4 linked regions of the Drosophila melanogaster genome follow. The protein of the gene in region 3 interacts with the protein of the main gene of each other region in a pairwise test. Each region holds a gene or a part of one and is shown on either strand. Other genes may lie near its edges.

Evidence for each region.
Region 1: the proteins of Rab6 (region 3) and Tmf interact in a two-hybrid assay, tested with the Drosophila melanogaster proteins (2 studies listed by BioGRID).
Region 2: the proteins of Rab6 (region 3) and GCC88 interact in a two-hybrid assay, tested with the Drosophila melanogaster proteins (2 studies listed by BioGRID).
Region 4: the proteins of Rab6 (region 3) and Golgin97 interact in a two-hybrid assay, tested with the Drosophila melanogaster proteins (2 studies listed by BioGRID).

Annotation. Positions count from the first base shown.
Region 1 is NC_004354.4:6,842,670-6,848,481, reverse strand, and holds Tmf (TATA element modulatory factor), read right to left. Parts: upstream 4,142-5,812; 5' UTR 3,876-4,141; coding exon 3,308-3,875; intron 3,240-3,307; coding exon 1,730-3,239; intron 1,654-1,729; coding exon 1,377-1,653; intron 1,313-1,376; coding exon 1,085-1,312; intron 1,026-1,084; coding exon 807-1,025; 3' UTR 635-806; downstream 1-634. Other genes in the region: Cht11 (chitinase 11), read left to right, coding at 1-374; CG14435 (uncharacterized protein), read left to right, coding at 5,436-5,812.
Region 2 is NT_033777.3:11,227,482-11,232,351, forward strand, and holds GCC88 (GRIP and coiled-coil domain containing 88 kDa), read right to left. Parts: upstream 3,120-4,870; 5' UTR 2,969-3,119; coding exon 2,887-2,968; intron 2,834-2,886; coding exon 1,009-2,833; intron 941-1,008; coding exon 760-940; 3' UTR 690-759; downstream 1-689. Other genes in the region: CG17726 (uncharacterized protein), read left to right, coding at 1-689; CG17187 (uncharacterized protein), read right to left, coding at 3,328-4,227; Dph3 (diphthamide biosynthesis 3), read left to right, coding at 4,536-4,643, 4,713-4,787, 4,860-4,870.
Region 3 is NT_033779.5:12,106,515-12,110,675, forward strand, and holds Rab6 (Rab6), read right to left. Parts: upstream 2,603-4,161; 5' UTR 2,286-2,602; coding exon 1,659-2,285; 3' UTR 707-1,658; downstream 1-706. Other genes in the region: ThrRS (Threonyl-tRNA synthetase), read left to right, coding at 1-248; Phae1 (phaedra 1), read left to right, coding at 3,129-3,941. UniProt on the Drosophila melanogaster protein: Protein transport. Regulator of membrane traffic from the Golgi apparatus towards the endoplasmic reticulum (ER). Mediates membrane trafficking during egg chamber growth and organization, possibly upstream of exocyst component Sec5.
Region 4 is NT_033778.4:13,449,006-13,454,145, forward strand, and holds Golgin97 (golgin 97), read left to right. Parts: upstream 1-1,580; 5' UTR 1,581-1,819; coding exon 1,820-1,993; intron 1,994-2,084; coding exon 2,085-2,870; intron 2,871-2,922; coding exon 2,923-3,021; intron 3,022-3,316; coding exon 3,317-3,730; intron 3,731-3,785; coding exon 3,786-4,025; intron 4,026-4,083; coding exon 4,084-4,206; 3' UTR 4,207-4,388; downstream 4,389-5,140. Other genes in the region: cnn (centrosomin), read right to left, coding at 1,169-1,353.

The sequences.
Region 1 (5,812 bases), on a different chromosome or scaffold from region 3:
TTAATCCTTTAAATCATCGCATAGGAGCTCCTGCTTCCGGTTACGGTAAATGTGGCCAACTGGGCTTCACCACACTGACCGAAACTTGTGAGTGTGTCACCAAGTTCTTCAAGCCAAACTTGTCCTACGATGCCGAGAGCTGTTCGCCATATTTGAGCGCTCTGCAGGAGTGGATATCGTACGAAAATCAAACGAGTATCGCCTGCAAGGCGAACTATGTGAAATCCCTCAATCTGGGTGGCGTCATGGTCTTCTCGCTGAACACCGATGATCTCAAGAACTCATGCAGCATTATGCCAAACTTGAAATACAGCGAGAAACCTGTATTTCCGCTAACCCAGGCCATTAAGGACATCCTGCGGGAGTCCCTGTGATTACTTTGTATTAAATGATATTTGATGTATTTGGAAGAGGCTGTTGCTTCTGCTGGCTGCTTCACAACCGCCTGGCAAACTGCTCGGAACAGAAACAGTTTTGTACATAGTCATAGACGATAACTTTATGTATATATAAATATAAATTAAATTATCACAATCGATCAATTTATAATATAACTAGAAGGTGTCAGCATACGCAAATCATAGGTAATATATATACTCGCATGTACATGTGTTGGTTTTTTTTTTGTTGTTTTGGGTGGATTGGGACTTGGAAGTGGGTTCCCCATACCGGATCCGTATCGATTAGTATTGAAAGCATAATACATTACAACTGGGAATGGGAGACGGAGATGGGCAACGTTACGGTGGCCACGTCCGTCGCAAACATGGCAACTCGGGCAGGGAGACGATCCTGCGCTCCGGCAATCATGTTTGCTTCGACGGCCGTTGCAGATTGGGTGGCGGGGCGGCCAGCAGCTCGTCGATCTGCAGCTTGTAGGCCGCCTTCAGCTCGGTCAGATCCAGCTCCAGTTCCTCGGTGCGCTCCACCTTCTCGCCGTACATCTGGAGCAGGGCGTCGTAGCGATGCTGCAGATCCTCGTATCCCTTCTCCATTACCTCGTACATCTGCTGCTTCTCCTTCATCTACCATTGGACGAATAGTATTCATTATTATCTCTTGTCAAGATGGGCTATTCTCCTACCGTTTCCAGCTCGATGGTCAGATTGGATATCTCGGCGTCGAGAACGCTTCGCTCTGCTTGCAGGCGCGACACTTCCCACTGCAGGTGGGTCAGCTCCCCGTCGCGCTGCTTGAGCAGAGCCTGCAGGTGCTCAAAGGTCGTTGTGTTGGCCGCCAGAAAGCTCAGGTGTACACCTTGGATGATGCCCGATTGCTGGCGACCCGAGTTGGAAGCGCAATCGAGGTCGTCCTGAATTTGAAAGTGAATTAGAAACTTAAGAAGGTTCTTCATTTGAAAGATTAGGCGACATTACCGCCTGCCAGTCGATCATGCCGCCCAGGGCCTCCTCGTTGGAACCACTGTCGTCCACCAAACTGAGGGGCGGTGAGGAGCGCAGTGGTGCCTGGGATTTCGGCAGCTGCATTTGCAGCTGTGGCTGCAACTCACTGCTAGCCTTGACCGCCTTCACTGTCAGCAGCGTGGGCTGTTTCCGCTGCTCCTCCTCTTCCTTTTGCCGCTGGCACAATTGCTCCAGACTCGCAATCCTCTCCTGCTGCTGCTGAATCTCCTCCTGCAGCAGGCTCAATTGTCTGTTAGTTTAGAAATATATTTGCATGGGTAGATATTAAAAATGGGTAAATCAATACAAGGTTTAATGGCACGCACTTTTTGTGATCGTTTTCCTTGTTGGCCGCTTCCAGATCGTGCTGACGCAGTGCCATCTTGGCGGCCTCCGCCTCCATTAGCGCACTGGACAGCTTCTCCTCCAGCAGGCCGCAACGGGTGCGCAGCAGCTCCTGCTTCTCGCCCTGTACGGATTCCAATTGCTGCAGCGAGCGCAGTTGCACCTGTGAGTCGTCCAGTTTCTGGAGGAGCTGCTGCTCCTCGCGGTTCCAGGCAGCGGATCGCTGGTCCAGTGTACGCTGCAGCGACTCGATCTGTCGTATCAACGGCGTGGTAGTGGCACCCAGCTCTTGAGTAGAGCTCTCCGCCCGCAGCTCGGCGGCTTCCAGGCGACGCATTAGCTGGCGGTTCTCCTCGCGCATTTGCTGCTCCCTTCTGGCCAGGCTGTGCTCGGCCAGGCGCAGTTTCTCGCGCAGATCGGAGACCTGCTGCACGTACTCCTGATGCTCGGCACGCAGACTGTCCTGCTCCAGGCGCGTGCGCTTCTGCAGATCTCCCTTTAGGCCGTCGAAACTGGCTTGCAGGGCAGCTAGTCTGGACTGAAGATCTTCGATGCGACTGCGGCTCTCGGCGTTCTCCTCATCCACGCGCTTCTTCTCCGCCGTCATCCGGCAAACTGCCTCGATTTGCGTGCGCTCCATTTCCTCCTTGGCGGCTAGGGATCTCTTGAGGCGCTCCGATTCGCTGGACAGCAACGAGATCTGCTCGCCGTTCTTCTTCAGCAACGTGTCCGAGGTCTTCTCCTTGGCGCGCAGTTTCTTGATGATCGTCGACTGCTGCAGGATCTCCTTGGACAGCTTCTCACCCTCGGACTGCAGGGCGGCGATCATTTCGTTGCATTCGGCTAGCTCATCCCTGGGTATCTTGTTCTGCAGCTCATCGCGCAGACTCTTCATTTGGATGCGCAGGGCATCGCGCTCGCGTATGCTGGCCTGGAACTTCTTCTCCAGCGCCGACAGACGCTGCACTGCATCCGCCGCATCCGGACTGTTGGCGCTATTGGCTGCCGCTTCGACGCGAGCGCGCAACTCCTGGTTGCGCTCGAGGAGCTCGGCATTCTGGCGCTCTGATTGCAATAGTCGCTGCTCCCGCGCCTCAATCACCTGGTTCAGCTCGCTGATGCGTTGCACCAGCTTATCCAGCTCCGACTGTGAGTCCTCCGACAGCAGCGAGATCTCCGAGGGCTCGCGATGATGTCCCTTGGCCTTTAGGCACACCTTGCCGCCCGCGAGCTCCTTGAATTTTTGCGGGCTGGTGCGCGTGGTGGTGCTGTTGGTGCTGGAGTCGCCATTCGGATTTGAGATGATCTCGATGTCCGATGAGGTGGACGAGTAGCTCTGGTCCACCGTTCCCGTCTTGGCCGGAGCGGGCGACTTGCCCTTGTGGCTCATCTGCAGCTGGATGTCCTCGAAGCTCTGCGTGGAATCGGAGTCAGCATTACCGGCTACCTGGATGTCGCTCAGGACCAGAGCCTTCATGGTTTTGGTGGAGTCTGCAGAGGGAAAGGTTTACACAGTTAGCAAACGATACAAAAAAGAGAATTGCGACAAGGCCCAATACCATTCAAGTGGTCCTCCATGTGGCGCTTCAGCTGGGTGCCCTCATCGTCATCATCCTCGCCATCACCCTCGGCATTGTCGGATGTGTCATTGCTGGCGATTATCACAATGCTGTCGGGCAAGGAGGGCTCCGTGTCCGGTGACATCTCCACTTCGCTGGCCGTGGTGGCCGTTATGAGTTCTAGCGAGGATTCAGACAAGCGCTTGGCCACCGAGGGGACATCGCCGCCGCAGGGCGAGATGGGCGAGGTTGGGGAGGACAGCAGATCCACCGAATCCGAGGTGGCTGACTGCCGTTTGCCGTAGGCGGCACTTCCTGGCACCGATGTGGGTGTGGGTGGAATGGTCACCATTTCGTTGGCATGCGGATTGTCAAAGAATGTTGGCGTATCCGAAGCGGGCGTGGCAGCGGATCCAGGTGTCTCCGCCGTTGCATTGTTCCCAGGCGATGCGCCACCATCGCTCGCAGCTCCTGCCATCGGCGAGTCCTTCTCCGCCGCCTTGCTGTCGTCATCCTGGATGTCCAGCGCCTCAATTAGCACCGTTTTGGCCTTTTCGAACCAGCTCATCTTCGGTGCGGATGTGGAAACGCAGCCCCAAGTGCCACTGTATCAATATTGCTGTTGACGTCGCCGCAGTAGCTTGGGCGAATTGAGTCCTAGTCCAGATCGCACTCCTGCTGCTCCGGCTGCTCCTGCTGCAATCTCCTGCTCCTTGGGAGGCACATGCAAGTCCCTGATGTTTTGGGAAGCTGCGGATTTGACTATTTAATGGCCAATTGGAATTGTGTTTTCAACAACTCAACTCAGCCCCGATAACTATAGTCGGCTATCGATAGGCCAGCTGTGTGACCACCGGTCGTGCACTACAGTGAGCACACGGTGCAATGAAAATGCATTTTTTAAACATATATATTCTACTATTTGTTTTTTAATTGATTTCCAATCAAACCATTGTGAACTAAGTAACACACAAAATCTAGCTAATATTAGAAATTATAATTTTTTAGTTTTGTGCAGTTTCAGTACATACTAACTTAACATTGAATCGATGCAAAAGAATTTGATAAATTTGAGAAAGAAAAAAGCGAATACCTCATGTAGGTGAAACAAAAATATTAAAATGATACTTTAAAATTTATATTTTATAAATGCGCAAATGAAGAATACCCCATCTAGGTTCATGTCTCAGCTAGGTGCCTACACAATACCGACACCATTCTTATTAGAATACCCGTCGACAATCGATTGGCCCTCCCAATTGGACTAACGCCTCTGTTGATATCGAGAAACTCTTTTAATGTAATGTATAAAAAAAAATTAAAAAAAAATATGGAAAACGGTCATTTAAATTGAGAGTGTAATCAAGGCAGATTGGCCAGCAGCGTCGTGTCGCGTCACACCTATTTTTTAGTCGGCGAGAGCAGCAGTAGTGCACCGCGTAGCGTTTGGATCCGATTCCATAGGATTAGGCAGCAGGAGCCCGTTGCAAGTGGCAAGTAGCAAGTAGTAGCAGGCGCAGGAGCAGCTAGTGCCCATCATCCATCAGTCATCGGTTGTCATCGGGAGTCATCATCCGGCGACCGCAGAGCCGACTCGAGTTCCAAATATACCGGAGAACCAGAGCAACTGAACACCTGAGCATCTGAAACATCTGAAACATCTGAGTCCCCGGAATCAGCAGGCGGAGGACAAGAAAACGGGGCAGCAACAATAACAATCGCGACTCAACTACGCACCGATTGACGCCCGCCCCCCGTCCTTGCCACCTACTCCCACCCCCGCCCCCCATCCACTCCACGAGCACCATCACTTTTGGCACAAACACCAAAACACACTCACACACACACACACTCGCACACACACACACAAGCACGCACACACATACACTTATCAAGCGAGCGACAAAAAAGCGACCGCATTTATCATCCGCACATCGCAAATCGCACATCGCATTGTTTGCTATTGTTGTCTGCTCCGTTTTTCGCACGCGAAGGAGCAGACAAAGAGGACGCCTCGCGGAGGCGGAGAATTGCAGAAGGCGCTGCTGGAGCAGCAGCAGGAGCAGCAGCTGGAGCAGGCGCAGGTGGTCAAAGGTTCGTCGCCCAGTTAATAATTCCATCAGCATCTATGGGTCAAAAGGCGAGCACTCCGGCGACCAGTGGCCAACAGAGCCCACGCTCCAGGACATTCTCGAGCAGTTCAACAGGAGCCGCCGATTCTGCGCTGCAGCAGCAGCAACACCAGCACTCGAATCCCGGCCAGAATCGTGGCGGTAACGGCGGCGGCGGTGGCGGCAATGATACCACCGGTCAGGGTTTCAATCTGCTGCGCACTTTGCCCGGCCTGCAGGTGTACCACAACCAAAACTCCACGTCCATCGATCGCCAGCGGGCGCGGAGTCTCAGCTCCGTGCCGGATATACAGCAGCAGGCGCAGCAGCAGCAGCAACAGGGATCGATCACCTCGTCCGGCAGCAGTCCGCATTCGCATCCGCATGCCGCGCA
Region 2 (4,870 bases), on a different chromosome or scaffold from region 3:
AGGATGTGCCCCAGGGATTCTCCCTAGTTCTCGCCCACGAGTTCTTCGACGCCCTGCCTGTGCACAAGCTCCAACTCGTAGATGGCAAGTGGCAGGAGGTGCTCATCGATGTGGCATCCTCTGATGGCGCACAAGAAGCTAGCTTCCGATATGTGCTCTCACGTAGCCAAACACCCGTTTCGAGTCTTTATCGACCGCTGCCCGGCGAGACACGATCCTGTTTGGAGCACTCCCTGGAGACGGAACGACAGGTGGGACTGCTCGCCGAGCGCATCGAACGGGATGGCGGCATCGCTCTAATCATGGATTATGGCCATTTTGGCGAGAAAACCGACACTTTCCGGGCCTTCAAGCAGCACAAGCTGCACGATCCGCTGGTGGAGCCGGGCAGTGCTGATCTCACGGCCGATGTGGACTTCAAGCTAGTGCGGCACATTGCCGAGACACGCGGAAATGTCCACTGCTGCGGTCCCGTGGAGCAGGGACTGTTCCTGCAGCGAATGCAGGGTGAGGCTCGACTGGAGCAACTGTTGGCACATGCGCTGCCCGAAAACCAGGAGATCATTCGCTCCGGCTACGAGATGCTCACGGATCCAGCCCAGATGGGCACTCGCTTTAAGTTCCTGGCCATGTTTCCCGGCGTGCTAGCTGCCCACCTAGACAAATACCCAGTCGTCGGATTTAGTTAGTTATCTATTTAGGATCTGTTTGTAGGGTTTTAAATATGTTGCACATGATTGTTGAACAAAAGTACGAATGTTATTTCTTCTGGAATGATGCATTGATCGCCTGCATCTCTGCGGCGGTGAACTGGAGCACCGCCGAGATGGCGTTCAGCATGTGACGCTTGCCGTCCGCGTCCCGGGTAACAATGTAGCTGATAATAACGTTCTTCAGGTACTCCAGATTGGCACCCTCGCGCGTCTTGCAACGTTCGAGTCTAGAATGGGAGTAGAGATCGTGGCATGACTTTCTAAGACAACAACGATAACAACGACAACGACGCACCTGTCCACCTGCTCCTTGAGGCACTCGATCTTCTCGTGCATTTCCTGCTGAGATGTCACCTTGTCCTGGATCGCCTTTCGCAGCGTCGACTCGGCGGCGTATTTGGCTTTCCGCAGTGTCGTGATTTCGATGTCCTTGCGCGCCAACTCGTTGGCATAGTGCAGCATGTGGCAGTTCTCGCCCATCGACATTTTCTTGGAGCGCACCTTTAGCTTTCTTTCCCGCTGCTCCCCCTCCACGCTGTCGGTGTCGGAGGAATAGTGAAAGGAATCGGCAGCTGCTTCAAGTGTGGGTGTGGCCAGTGTGCTGCCCACACCGCTGGCCGAGTGAAAGACCTCGAAGGAGGTCTGCAGTGTCTTAATCTCCTGCTCCTTCTCATCCAGCAGCTGCAGTGACCTCTGGCGCTGCTTCTGCAGTAGCTGTTCCAGCTCGTTCAGTTTGCAGCGCGTCTCGTTCTCCAGTTCAGCCTTGGCTTCCTGCCACTTGGTTCGTTCGTTCTTCAATGCCAGGCGCAGCTTTTCGCCCTGCTGCTTTAGTTCGACTTCCGCCTCGTCGATGTTGCGATTGAGCACCTGCACCTTCTCCTGCAGCGTTTGGATGTGCGAGTGCTGCAGCTGCACCTTCTGTTCGAGTAGCTGTCGCTGCTGCTTGGATGCCTCGAGCATTTGCTGCACACCCTGAAGCTGTTGCTCGCAGTGGGCGTGACTCTCGACTCGGGTAGCTGTTTGGCCGCTAAATGATAGGATCTCCCCGAGATCCAGTGGATTGGCAGAACGGGCATTGGCTGTGGTAAGCAGTTTCTTCAAGCGCACCATCTCGTCAACCAGCGTGGCTACGTCCACATCTTCGTTTAGCGCCCTTGAATTGGATGTTGGACGCACATGTGCCTGCTCTAGATCCTGCAGCTGCTGCTTCAAATCATGGATGCTGTCCTGATCTTGCTGACGCAGGCGGTCGTAGCTGCCGACAGTGGTGCTGAGCTCCGCCAGGCGTGCCTCTAGACTGGCCACGCGATCCTCGTGCAGCGCCGCCTGCCTGCGACTCTGTTCCTCGGCACGCAGCACGCGACGCTGTTCCTGACGAATGGCCACTGCATGCTGCTCCTTCAGTTGCTGCATCTCAAGGCGCACTTGCTGAAGGAGAGCGGCGCTGTCCGCACTCGCTGACGCTGCTGCAGAGTGCTCGGTCTTGGCCTGGAACTGTTTCAGCTGGGAGCGAGCCTCCTTTAGCTGGGATTGCAATTCCCGTAGCCGGCTATTCTCTGCCTCGTTGCTGGCGAACTGGGTCTTGAAGTTGTTTAACTGCATCTCAATGTTGTCCTTTAGATGCCGCTCGTCCGCATAGAGTTTCTGCAGTTCGCGGATCATGAGCATTTGGTTGTTGGTCTCTTTCTCGCGCTCCTGTCGCTCCACGATCCACTTGGCCTTGATCTCGTCCACGTCGCTTTTGGCCCGAGCAGCCTGCTCCTTGGCCCGGGTATTAAGCTCCTGAATGGTCTGCTCCTTTTGGGCGATTTGGCTGCGCAGTTGCTTTTTATCCGCCTGAAAGGAGGCCTCCATGCGGGATTTCTCAGCGGAAAGAGTGGCCAGCGAGTTCATCAGGGTGATAATTTGGGTCTGCAGTTGACCCTCGGCCGGGGGAGCAGGCGGACCCGGTGCAGCGCCCTCGGTTGCTCCATCCGCAGAGTCGGTGCTGGTTTTTTTGGACTCCAACTCCCTGGCCGGCGATCCGGACTCGCCCACCGCCGTGGCCTCCGCATGCGCCGCCAGACTCGTCTCCAATGCCTCCTTCTCCTTAAGCAGACCCTTGTAGGCAGTGACCACGTCTACAAATTGGGCTCATTAATCCATTTGCATTGCGAATTCATCTATGTCTCACCTTTTAGACGCTTTTCATAGCGCCCCAGTTGCTCCTTTTGGGTGGACACCAGCGCCTCCAGCTCCCTCTGTCGCTTCTCCATTTCGCCTTGAAAGGGAATTAGTTCATTTACTTTCAGTTCGCTTAGTAGTTCAATTTATTTATCTCCCGTGTCATTTTTGCATTTCTTTTAATTAACAAATTTCAGCAGCTGGCACGCGGGCCTGCCAACTTGTCATGTTTGCTCAGGCACTAAAAATTGCCATCATTCTGATTTAAACTTTTTTTTATTTTTGCGGTTTTTCAAAAAATAATTAATAACCAAATTTACATAAATTAAAAACTATTTTAAATGTAAATGTATTATAAATCAGCTGCATAGTTGCTAAATTGAGATATTTTCAAACATTAATATTAGTCCAATTAAAGTAAATTAAATGTTGAGCCTAACTAAATCTTATTTCATTCGCCCTCCTCGTCCTTCATCATCTGCTCAATGAGTCTCTTACGTTCCTCAGCTTGGCGCAGCTTTCGCATGACCAGGTCCTCGTAGTCGGTGGATGACGCACTGCACCCAGTGGTGGCCGATTTGGTTGTCTGCTTGTCTGCCGCCGGCGGCGTTACCCACTCGAAGTGCAGCGGCTTGGCGGGATCGCCTTTTTCGTAGGCCAAGACCATGTCGCAGGCTTCGCGCGTGGCCAGCTCCACCATGGCGCGTCCGCGTCGCTTGCTGTTGACCACCAGGGCCACCACGTCGCCGTACTTCTTCAGATACTTGAGCAGCTCTTGCTGTGTGTAATCCTGGCCAGGTTCGGCCTTCCACTTCATCTTGATGCGATGCTGGGCGGAATCAAACTGGACCGGCTGTTGCTGCAGTTTCTGTTGCTCCGCGTGATTCCGCCGGAACTGCTCCTGCATGGCTCGCTGCTCCTCCTCCAGCAGACGGGAGCCCTCGCGTCGCAACCGCTCGATCTGCTCATGCAGCACCTCCTCGTCGCTTTTGGCCACCGTGCTGTAGGGTTGGCTCTTCGCCAGTTTGTGCAGTGCCGCCCGTTCACGTTCCTCCAGTTCCAGCTTCAGCTTCTGCCGCTTCCCGTCCAGTTGGCGACTCCTCAGCTCCGCCGCCTTCTTGGCCTTCAGCACTTTGTCATAAGCTGCGCGCGCGGATTCATCCGTGAGGATCTCCAGAGCCTTGGACAACTCATGGAAGCGCTCGACTGCCTTCGGATTGTCCGGATTCTTGTCGGGATGGCACTCGAGGGCCTTCTTGCGGTACGCCTTGCGTATCTCATTTTGATCAGACTCGAGAGAAATGCCCAGAAGATCGTAAAGATTCACGTCACTGTACTTTTTGCTAGCCATTTAGTCTTATTTTACTCCTTATTCAACAACTGGAACATGGGTTTGTTTTGCAGTTTGTCTTTTTTGGGCAAAAGTTAGCTAAAATATACTATTTTATACGAGACTTATTTCACAACTGCAGCCGGCGGTCCAAAAATGTCCAAATAAAACATTTGCAATTGTTTACTGGATCAGCTGTTCGCTGCAACGAGTTGGCAGCCCCGCAACACAACGTGCCCATTTGTTTGGCGTGGATTAATCTAAGTTATCGCAAAAAAAACTCAAATATAATATGACCTTTAGGCGCTGAATTAAGCTGAAGGTACGTCATGAGCATCTATCACGACGAGGTGGAGATCGAGGACTTCGAGTACGACGAGGAGGAGGAGATGTACTACTATCCCTGTCCATGCGGCGATCGATTTCAGATCTCCAAGGTAACGAGTCGTATACGCAACCTTTTTTTTTCTGGACTCCCCATATCACTTGGTAAATTTCCACTTTAGGAGGAGCTAATCGAGGGCGAGGAGGTGGCCACCTGTCCCAGCTGCTCCCTAGTCATCAAGGTCATATACGATCCGGTAAGTGACTCATTCAGAAATACACCTAGAACTCCCCAGAAAACTCAAGCAATCTGATTTTCCGAATTTCAGGAGATGTTCAA
Region 3 (4,161 bases):
TGCACGATGCTGGATTCATGAGCGAGGCGGATTGCGATGCCGGCGACACGATGAACAAGAAGATACGCAATGCTCAGTTGGCCCAGTTCAACTTCATTCTGGTGGTGGGCGACAAGGAGCGCTCCTCGAATACCGTTAACGTGCGCACTCGGGACAACAAGGTGCACGGCGAGGTCTCCGTGGCGGAACTCATCACAAAGCTGCAAAAGATTCGCGACGAATTCATCGCCAACGAGGACAGCTTCTAAGACTCTATTTCGAACTATTTATCAAAAGTATACTTAACATTTGCATAGCAAAGCAAGTACGCATTTTTGTTCTTTCTATGTATTTACGCTTACGAAACCGGAATTCACAAATAAAAAACCAAATCCAAACACATTTTAAGGTGTTTCAAATAGAAGAGAAGAGCATGCAATCAAATAAAAGCAATTCGATTCAATATACGATTATTAAGCTTCCCCAACTAAAAATCGTATTTTTCTGATCCACCTTAAGCCGCCTATTTCACTCCAGTTTCTTGACGAATCAGTGGAATTTGTCAGCAATTGAGGACTAGTCATGCCGACACAGAGGTGCGCTGTAGTCCATTCAGGAACGATTTGGAATGATAAGATAAGTCGGCCCACATTTGGCGGAAAACTTTTTGGGAAAGGTGTGCGTGCACCCACAACGTATGAGTCATGTTTTGAATTTATTTTTTTGTATTAATTTATTGCTAGTATCTTGTATACTTTTCATTTTCATAATTTGATTTATTAAAAATTGCATCAATAGTTTATGTTTTTATTCAATTATCAATTTTGTAAGCTTTTGCTTTTCGCGTAAAAAATGCACAAAGTTCTCTCGCTAATCGAAGCAAAAATCGTTAATAATATTGTTAAGTGTTTGCTCTGCTCGTGCTCTGCTTATCTGTTTCAGTTTTAGTCATAAAAATACATATTTTATATTTGTGTATATTTATTCATAAGATGCACGTGGCCAAGTCCTATGCCATCCACAGTTCCAGTTAGCAGTCGCGTTCGCTGTGCTAAAAAAAAAACCGAAATCCTAACCAAAACTGGCGAAACAAAAGCCGCAAACAGAACAGAACGGGGGCTAAAATTGGAAACAAAATGCCTGGCTGGTGGAATCATTGAACACAGACTGGCTGCGTGGTATCTACGACTGCTGGAGATGCCGAGAGCTGGAATGTCGGAGGATCCTGGGACCGCCTGGCCTGACATAAGTACATGGTCTTGGGTTTTTTTTCGTTTAGAGGGTTTAGGGGGTATCGGAAATGCACTACACTATATTCTTGTCTGGTAGCTAACTCGCAAATATTACTCTGATCTTGATCCCTGATCTCGTGTCAATGAGTTAGCATTCGCACTCGCCTGCGCTCGGGATTAGCTCGTCAATTAACAGTAATTAGTTAGCCGATTTCGTTAATTGTTGTTTAGTCTATTTGCCTTTGCTATCATTTGTTACTTTATAAATAAACTTAAACGTAAAGTGTGTATGTGTGTATAGATGTTGAGGAATCCGCCGCAGATCCGGCCAGTACATACACCTGACACCTGTGTACACCAGTGCTGCTGGCCGATCTCCTGCATCTGCATCTGCTCCTGCTGTTGAAAAAGGGGGAGAGGATGGTTGGATCGTCGGCTCAACCGGTTCTAGCAGGCGCAGCCGCCCTCGGGATCCTTTGTCTCGTTGGGTGAGTCCTTTAGCACAACCTCCTGCATGTCCTCGGAGGGCTTGTTCTCCGTGGAATCCATGCCGGGCAGTGCCGCGGCCACCCGTCGGAACAATTGCTTCACATTGTAGCCGGCCTTGGCGCTTGTCTCGATGAACATCACGTTAAGCTCCTTCGCCTTGCGCTCACCCTCCTCGGTGGACACCTGACGCTTGTCGGAGAGATCCGTCTTGTTGCCCACCAGCATGATGATGACGTCGCTACCCCGCTCCGTGCGCACGTCATCGATCCACTTGGAGGTCTGGTGGAACGAGTTGGTGTTGGTGATATCGTAAACGACCACTGCCACCGTGGAGTCGCGTATGTACGAGGGTATCAGCGAGCGGAATCGCTCCTGTCCCGCCGTATCCCACAGCTGCAGGCGCACAGTGCGATCCTCCAGGTACATGGTCTTCGATAGGAAATCAATTCCGATCGTCGCCTGGTACGTGTTGTCGAAGCTGTCGTACATGAAGCGCGTAATCAGCGAGGTCTTGCCCACACTCTGCTCGCCGAGGAAGACGAGCTTGAACTTCCGCAGCGGATTGCCAAAATCTCCGGATGACATCTTCCTCAACGTACGTGTCTACTTTTTCTTAATTACGGGTTTGCTGAACTCTCTTCTCGCTCCGCTCCGCTCTCACCAATCTCCACCCCTCCTCACTGTTTATAATGGGGCTGGGCCAGCGGTTTTCGGGGCCCTTTCGCACTGCGATTTCTCGGGATGCACCGCTTTCAAGTTGCCGCACTCTATTACACACGCTCTAAATGCTTTCCGTCTGGCTAAAGACTCAATTGCGGCTCGAATGGCTTGGTAAATCGCTAGGTTGAGTCGTGGAAAAATTACGGTCTCTGCTTCTTCTTCTTTAACTTCTGAGTCAGTTGCTGTGTGACCAGAGTGGCAATCAAAAGCAATTTCTCTGCCACGCTATCGATAAACGCATATTTGTACTAAATCGATGTTTTATGATTTAAAAAAAAATCGATTGATATTCGTTACCGTTATTAAATAATTTTAACTAAAATTTACCTGCTTAAAATGTTTAAATACTGATGAAGTACAAGGTAATTGCTTAACTTTTTATTTCATATTAAAAAGTGAATACTAAGTGTAAGAAATACTAACAGGTGATAACGCGATTTTCAAATATAAAGCTCTCTAAAGTGATTTGCTTGTTTTTAGATAAACGAGCGTAGGTATTTGCCCATCCTATCGGTGGAACTTGACGTACTTCTGTCAAAGAGTCACTGTTCGGGCGTCGCTTAATCTCAAATTATAATAAGTGGTTATCTGAAGAACACACGGTCCTTAATTGAAAGCCTTATCTGCTGGCGCTGGCAAAATTTTGGAATGGCGAATTAATTTAAACGTGCCGCGATAAAGGTCGATGTAAACAGTTCCGCGAAAACTATGTTAGCGAACGGACAGCAAACAAAGTCGTTGGCCAGTGGGCTTCTTCTCCTACTGGGCATATGCCGAATATCCGGAGTGGCTATCGGCGCACCCGAGGGGCGTGTCGTGGGTGGATCTCCGGCAGCGGTGAATAGTGCTCCCTATGCGGTGTCCATGCAGTACGGTGGCACCCATTACTGTGCCGCCAGCATTCTGAATGCCAACTGGCTAGTCACCGCTGCCCACTGCCTGACCAATAGTAACCAGGTGCTGGGCAGCACCTTGGTGGCCGGAAGCATCGCGGTGGACGGAACTGCAAGCACTACGCAGACGCGGAGCATCACGTACTTCGTGATCAATGACTTGTACACCGGCGGAACTGTGCCCTATGACATCGGAATGATCTACACGCCCACCGCCTTCGTTTGGAGCGCCGCCGTTGCCCCAGTGACGCTACCATCCTCGGGAGTGGTGCCCACTGGCACCGCCAATCTGTACGGATGGGGCAGCACTAGCACCACGAATACCGCCTCCTATCCGTCGACCCTGCAGGTGGCCACCAATGTGCCTATCATTTCGCTGAGCTCCTGCGAAAGCGCCCTGGGCACCAAGGGCAGCGATGTCCACTCGACCAATCTGTGCACTGGTCCTCTAACTGGCGGCGTTAGCATTTGCACCTCGGATTCGGGCGGACCACTGGTCCAGGGCAATGTCCTTATTGGCATCGTGTCCTGGGGCAAGTTACCTTGTGGTCAGGCCAACTCACCGTCGGTTTACGTGCAGGTCTCGTCGTTTATATCGTGGATATCGGCTAACCAGCAGGTGTCCTAAATAGTCGAGTTTTTCCCTATTTTTTCAATAAAAGCAATCAAATGTGTGTCCCTAGTGGCGGTCACTTAAATGTGGGACTTTCCTTCGCATCACAGCTACTATATCAAACAACGAGCTGTTTTTTAAAGTTTATCTTATCTCGTAAAGAGAGAGGAACACGGTGAGCAACCAACGAACAGATTTATATGCTTCACATATTTTCGGGCTGTAAATAACAATT
Region 4 (5,140 bases), on a different chromosome or scaffold from region 3:
AAATCCGAGCACACTTTGTACTTTATATATCTGTGTATTTCGATTTGGTTTTTTGTTTTTCATCCGAGAACCACCAGCATCCCACTAATCGCTTATCCACAGCAACGAATGCAATAAATTACAAATCAATCTATCACTTTTTGTATCTCGCAGTGCAATATAAACAATTGCACTTATGTACAGATATGTATGTACAATCAATCACTCACACACCCGCACAACGCTTGACCCGCTGATTGTTTCTATTTACATATATGTATGTATATATGGGTAAGTGAGTATATAGATATGTATGTATGTACATATGGCACGATTGATAGCCGAGAGGCAAGCAAAATAAACCGAAAAACGCTCTCTGCACGTCCAAATAAACCGAAAGCTAGAACATAACTGACTGAAACTGCGATGCGACCGATTCAGAGCGACCAAAGGCAGAGCAGCAAACGGGCGGAAAACTCGGGCTCATCTGCGAGGAAAAAGGAAAATGCGCTCAGCAGATGTTACGCATTTCCCAATGCCGTACACAGCGAGAAAGCGGTCAGCAAACTCAGTTCATTGGCTACGAATAGAATACAGAAATATCTGTTGTATACTTAAGGGATTACATTTGTGTTCCCAATTCTTTTTCTTTTAAATTTTCATTTTCATTAGGAATCAGAATAGTAATAGTAAATCTAAAGATTATAATAAAAAAATGTATTAAACTTTGACTCTATTCAGCATTTGAAAAAGTGATGAAGCATACAATCTTAAAAATAAAAGTACATCTTATAAGAGTACCTTACAAATCTTATTTCATTTAAAATCGTAAATTAATCCAAATCACTTAATGTTTTTAAAAAACATTTTAAAATAAATATTGATGGAAATTTAGCTTTAAAATTTTTTTCAGTGCAGATGTATTATTGTTCCTCTCTTCGAATTTTTTGGGGTGGGTAATACGCCCATTGTACGCCTGTGCTTGTGAGTATGCCTCCCCCTATGGGGCCGAGCAGTACGGATGCGGGAGAGCTCCAGCTGAGAGCGTTAGTTCCCGATCACAGTGGGCACGATCACCATGTCACATGGCGATCATCTGCTGCGCACTCGCAGTTGCCAGGGATTTCGATGGATTTGCCACACAAGTCTTATTGGTAAGCTATTGTTTATGCTAGTGTTTTGGACTTACTCGTCTATGCTTTTGGACAGTGCCTCGGCTAGTTTGCGCAGGACCCTTCTGTCGATTTCGGCGGCGCCATTCTCCTCCAGGAAACTGGTCACGGTCTCAATTAAGGTGATTTCCTTCAAGGACGATGCACAGGTACCATTGCCGTCGCCGCAATAGTCCCGCAAAACCTGTTTAGACTGGTCCATGGGAGGTCCTCAAATAGTTAACTTTCGCACACAATAATTCTAACACTTGACAATTTCACAAAGGACGCTAACAATTACACTTTTTTTCTGTTTGGAAAATGAAGCGCGCTGGAACAGCTGTTTCTGGCGTCAGTTATCGAAATGCTGCCATGCGCACTGGCAGCACTGCCGTACAACGGGAAAAAGTTAACACAGCGGTATGGCAACGCTGTTCGTCGATTTACGTTACTGCAAAGTCGATTCTTATCGATGGTAAACAACATCGACGGTTTACGAAAATTAGCATTCGCCTGATAAGCAAGTAGAACACTACGGCCACCAGATATAACGCCATGCTATAAACGCTCTGTGGGCACGTTTTCGTCAGCCCCAGCCACAAGCAGGCCAACTTCAGTCGGGGGCAGTACACATACAGAAAATAGAGCAGCGCAACAGAGAAAAAGCTCCCCCCTCGAAAAACCTAACAATGTTTGCTACACTGAAAAACAAGATCAAGGAGGAAACTGGCGATGATGTGGTCCAATCAGCCAATCAACGTTATCCCGGCAACAACAACAACAATTACCGGCTACGTAGTCGCCGCGTTAGCATTAATTCCAACTCAGCTGATGATGTGGGCGGTGGCGGATTCTACAATGAGGTAAACTGAGCGAAAAAAAAACAGTCTATTTGTGTATACTTACACATTAAACAAAAACACGGATAAACAAACACCTTCACTCTTTTCGCAGTCGGAGCAATTGTGCGAGCTGCGAAGTCAGTGCAACGAGCTCACCACGAAGCTGTCCACCGTCACGCAGGGATTGCAGCAGCTGCAGGAGGAGAAGACGCGCGTGGACAAGACCAACGAGATTCTGCTAGAGAGTGTGCGTGTGGCCCAGACGCAGAAGGACATATACTGCGAGGAGCAGGAGAAGATTCAGAATCTACAGCAAATCGAGATTGACAAGCTGAAGAATCTGCTTAGCTTTCGGGAGCAGGAGTCGGTGGATCGCATGGGTCTCATGCGCCAGCAGACCCAGCAAATCGAGTCCTTGAGCGAGGAACTAGAACGTCTGCGTCCCATTGAATCCGTGGCCGAAGATTTACGCGACGAACTAGAGCAACTGCGACATTCTACACAGCAGGAGAAGAATCTGCTGACCACAACACTGGCGGCTGTACAGGAGGAGAACCGGCACCTCAAAAAGCGCATGAAAATCGTCGAGGAGTCGCGACTCGAGTCTCTGGGCAAACTGAACTCCGAGCAACAAGTGCAAGCCCTTATCCGGGAACATAAACTGCTGGAACAGCACTTAGAGGAGGCCCATCTGCAGTTGTCGGACATCAAAGGCTCGTGGAGTGGCCAGAATCTGGCGCTGGAAACCCAAGTTAGTCGTCTATCCAAGCAAGTGGCCGAAGAGACCACCGAAAAGCGAAAGGCCCTTAAATCCCGCGACGATGCCATTGAAAGCCGCAAGCAGGTATCATTCGAACTCGAAAAAGCCAAAGATGAAATAAAGCAGCGGGACGATAAGGTAGGTTAGATAGTAATACCTATGTGCCAATACTTATGCACTTTAATTGCAGGTCAAGCTGCTGGAGGAGGAAATCGATGAACTTAGTGTGGCCCTGAAAGAGTGCCGAGAGGAGAACGAGCAGCAAGTCCTCTTTGAGCGCAATAAATCTGTGAGTATGCCTCCCGATTCTGACGATTTCCATTGGGACTTGTAACACTAATTTAACCAACAATGCAGTACTAACTCTACCAATTAAGCTCCTGGTTTACTTGGAATTTTCCAACCACACCTATTATGTAGTTTTTGATTGTAAATGTTTTCCTTTTCGTATTAAACTGATTTAATCGTTGGCAAACTTTTTGGTAAACTTTTTCCTTCAATAATGCACGCATATATATGTTTACCCTCAATATCCAAAACTGATTGATGGAGATTTTGTAAACCAATAAACCGAATGTTCTCAGCAAAATTTGGAAACAGAGGTAAAAGATCTCAAGACTCGTCTCACGGCAGCGGATGACAGGTTCAGCGAGTACTCCTCGAATGCCGAGCAGGTGGCCCAAAAGCTACGGGTTCAGGTGACTGAAAAGCAGGAGCAGCTGGACGAAACCATAATGCAACTGGAAATCGAACGAGAGGAGAAAATGACTGCAATACTTCGCAATGCGGAAATCGCCCAGAGCGAAGACATTTTACGGCAACAGCTGCGCTTGGAGCGCAGCGAAGCCAGCGACCTCCAGGAGAGGAATAATCAGCTGGTGAGGGATATATCCGAGGCACGGCAAACGTTGCAGCAGGTCAGCAGCACAGCACAGGATAATGCCGACAAGTTGACCGAATTCGAGCGAGTTCAGTTGGAAATAATCGAAAAGAATAAGGTTAGATTTGTTATGAATGGTTTTGGCAAATTTTATTAACCAATTTTCTGTCTAGACAATAAAAACACTGAATCAGCGTTTGATTGACTTGAAAAAAACAGTGCAGAAGGAACTACGCAGTGCGCAGATATCCACGGACAGTGAATCTCATCCGACAACGACACCAGGTCACAGAATCTCAAGTTCATCGCTGGAGGCATTTTCAACTGGCGACAAGGGAAATTGCGTCATAATGGACGAAGTTAATTTTCAATATTTGAAACACGTAATTGTTAAGTTCTTGACCAGTCGCGAGGTATGCAATTTCATCTGTTTCCTGTATAATTAATTCGATTTCATGTTTGTTTCTTTAGGTGGAAGCTCGCCATCTTGTTCGTGCCGTATCCACATTACTTCAATTGACAACCGAGGAGGAAAAGCTGCTACACGACACATTGAATTGGAAGATGAGTTGGTTTGGCATGAAACCAACTTAAGTAGCCACAGCAATACATCACATTTGTACTCTAATCTATAGTCAATTCATAACGTTCGTGTAATATGTACATACCAATTGCATACGCAGCACTGTGTTATTTTGTTTACCAACAACATTCCATTTTGTTGAATAGTATTTATTTCTACCGTTGTGATTTTTATAATAAACTAACATTTATGTAAAATGCCGTTTTTCATTTAGTAAATCTTAGTCATCCGTGCATTTGTCTTGAAGGAAAGAAAGACTATTCAACTATTTGAAAGACTATTCAAATCCATATCATTTTTTATAAAATCGAATTTACCATCGTTAGGTAGAATGTGTGTATAATACATACATTTTACTTTACACGATATTAACTTCCACTCTACATTACCTGGTGGCGCCATCTAGGAGTCCCGGTTAGACAATTAAAAAACCATTAATAAAAGTCAATATTTAATTTTTAAAAATACTGCATTTTACAATTAAAAATATTGTTTGTTACATTTTACGTTCACTAAAATTAACTATAAATATGAATTTACTTCAATTTGTTTATTGCAAAGACCTACGTCGTATGAATAACTAACTATTCATTTGTATTATCTATGAATAAATGATATAGGAGGATTAAAGATTAAACAAAAAACACACGTATTAATGAGGCACTTTTTGGTGTTTATAACAATTAAGAAGACAGTTCAATTAGTCGCATATTCGTCAATATTGCTTCATAATATAGTTATCTATTTACACTTTTTAAACTAAATATTAAACTAAGTCTAGGCGTTAAATGCATTTAAATCAAAATTGCGTACTTAGGTTTTAACCAATTGTGAATTTTCTGTCAGGTTTCGGAAAATTTGGCACACGGAATTTCAAAAGACTGTCTCACCTATCGAATATTACATCATTTATACCTAAGGTAATTGCTAATAATCTGCAGTCTA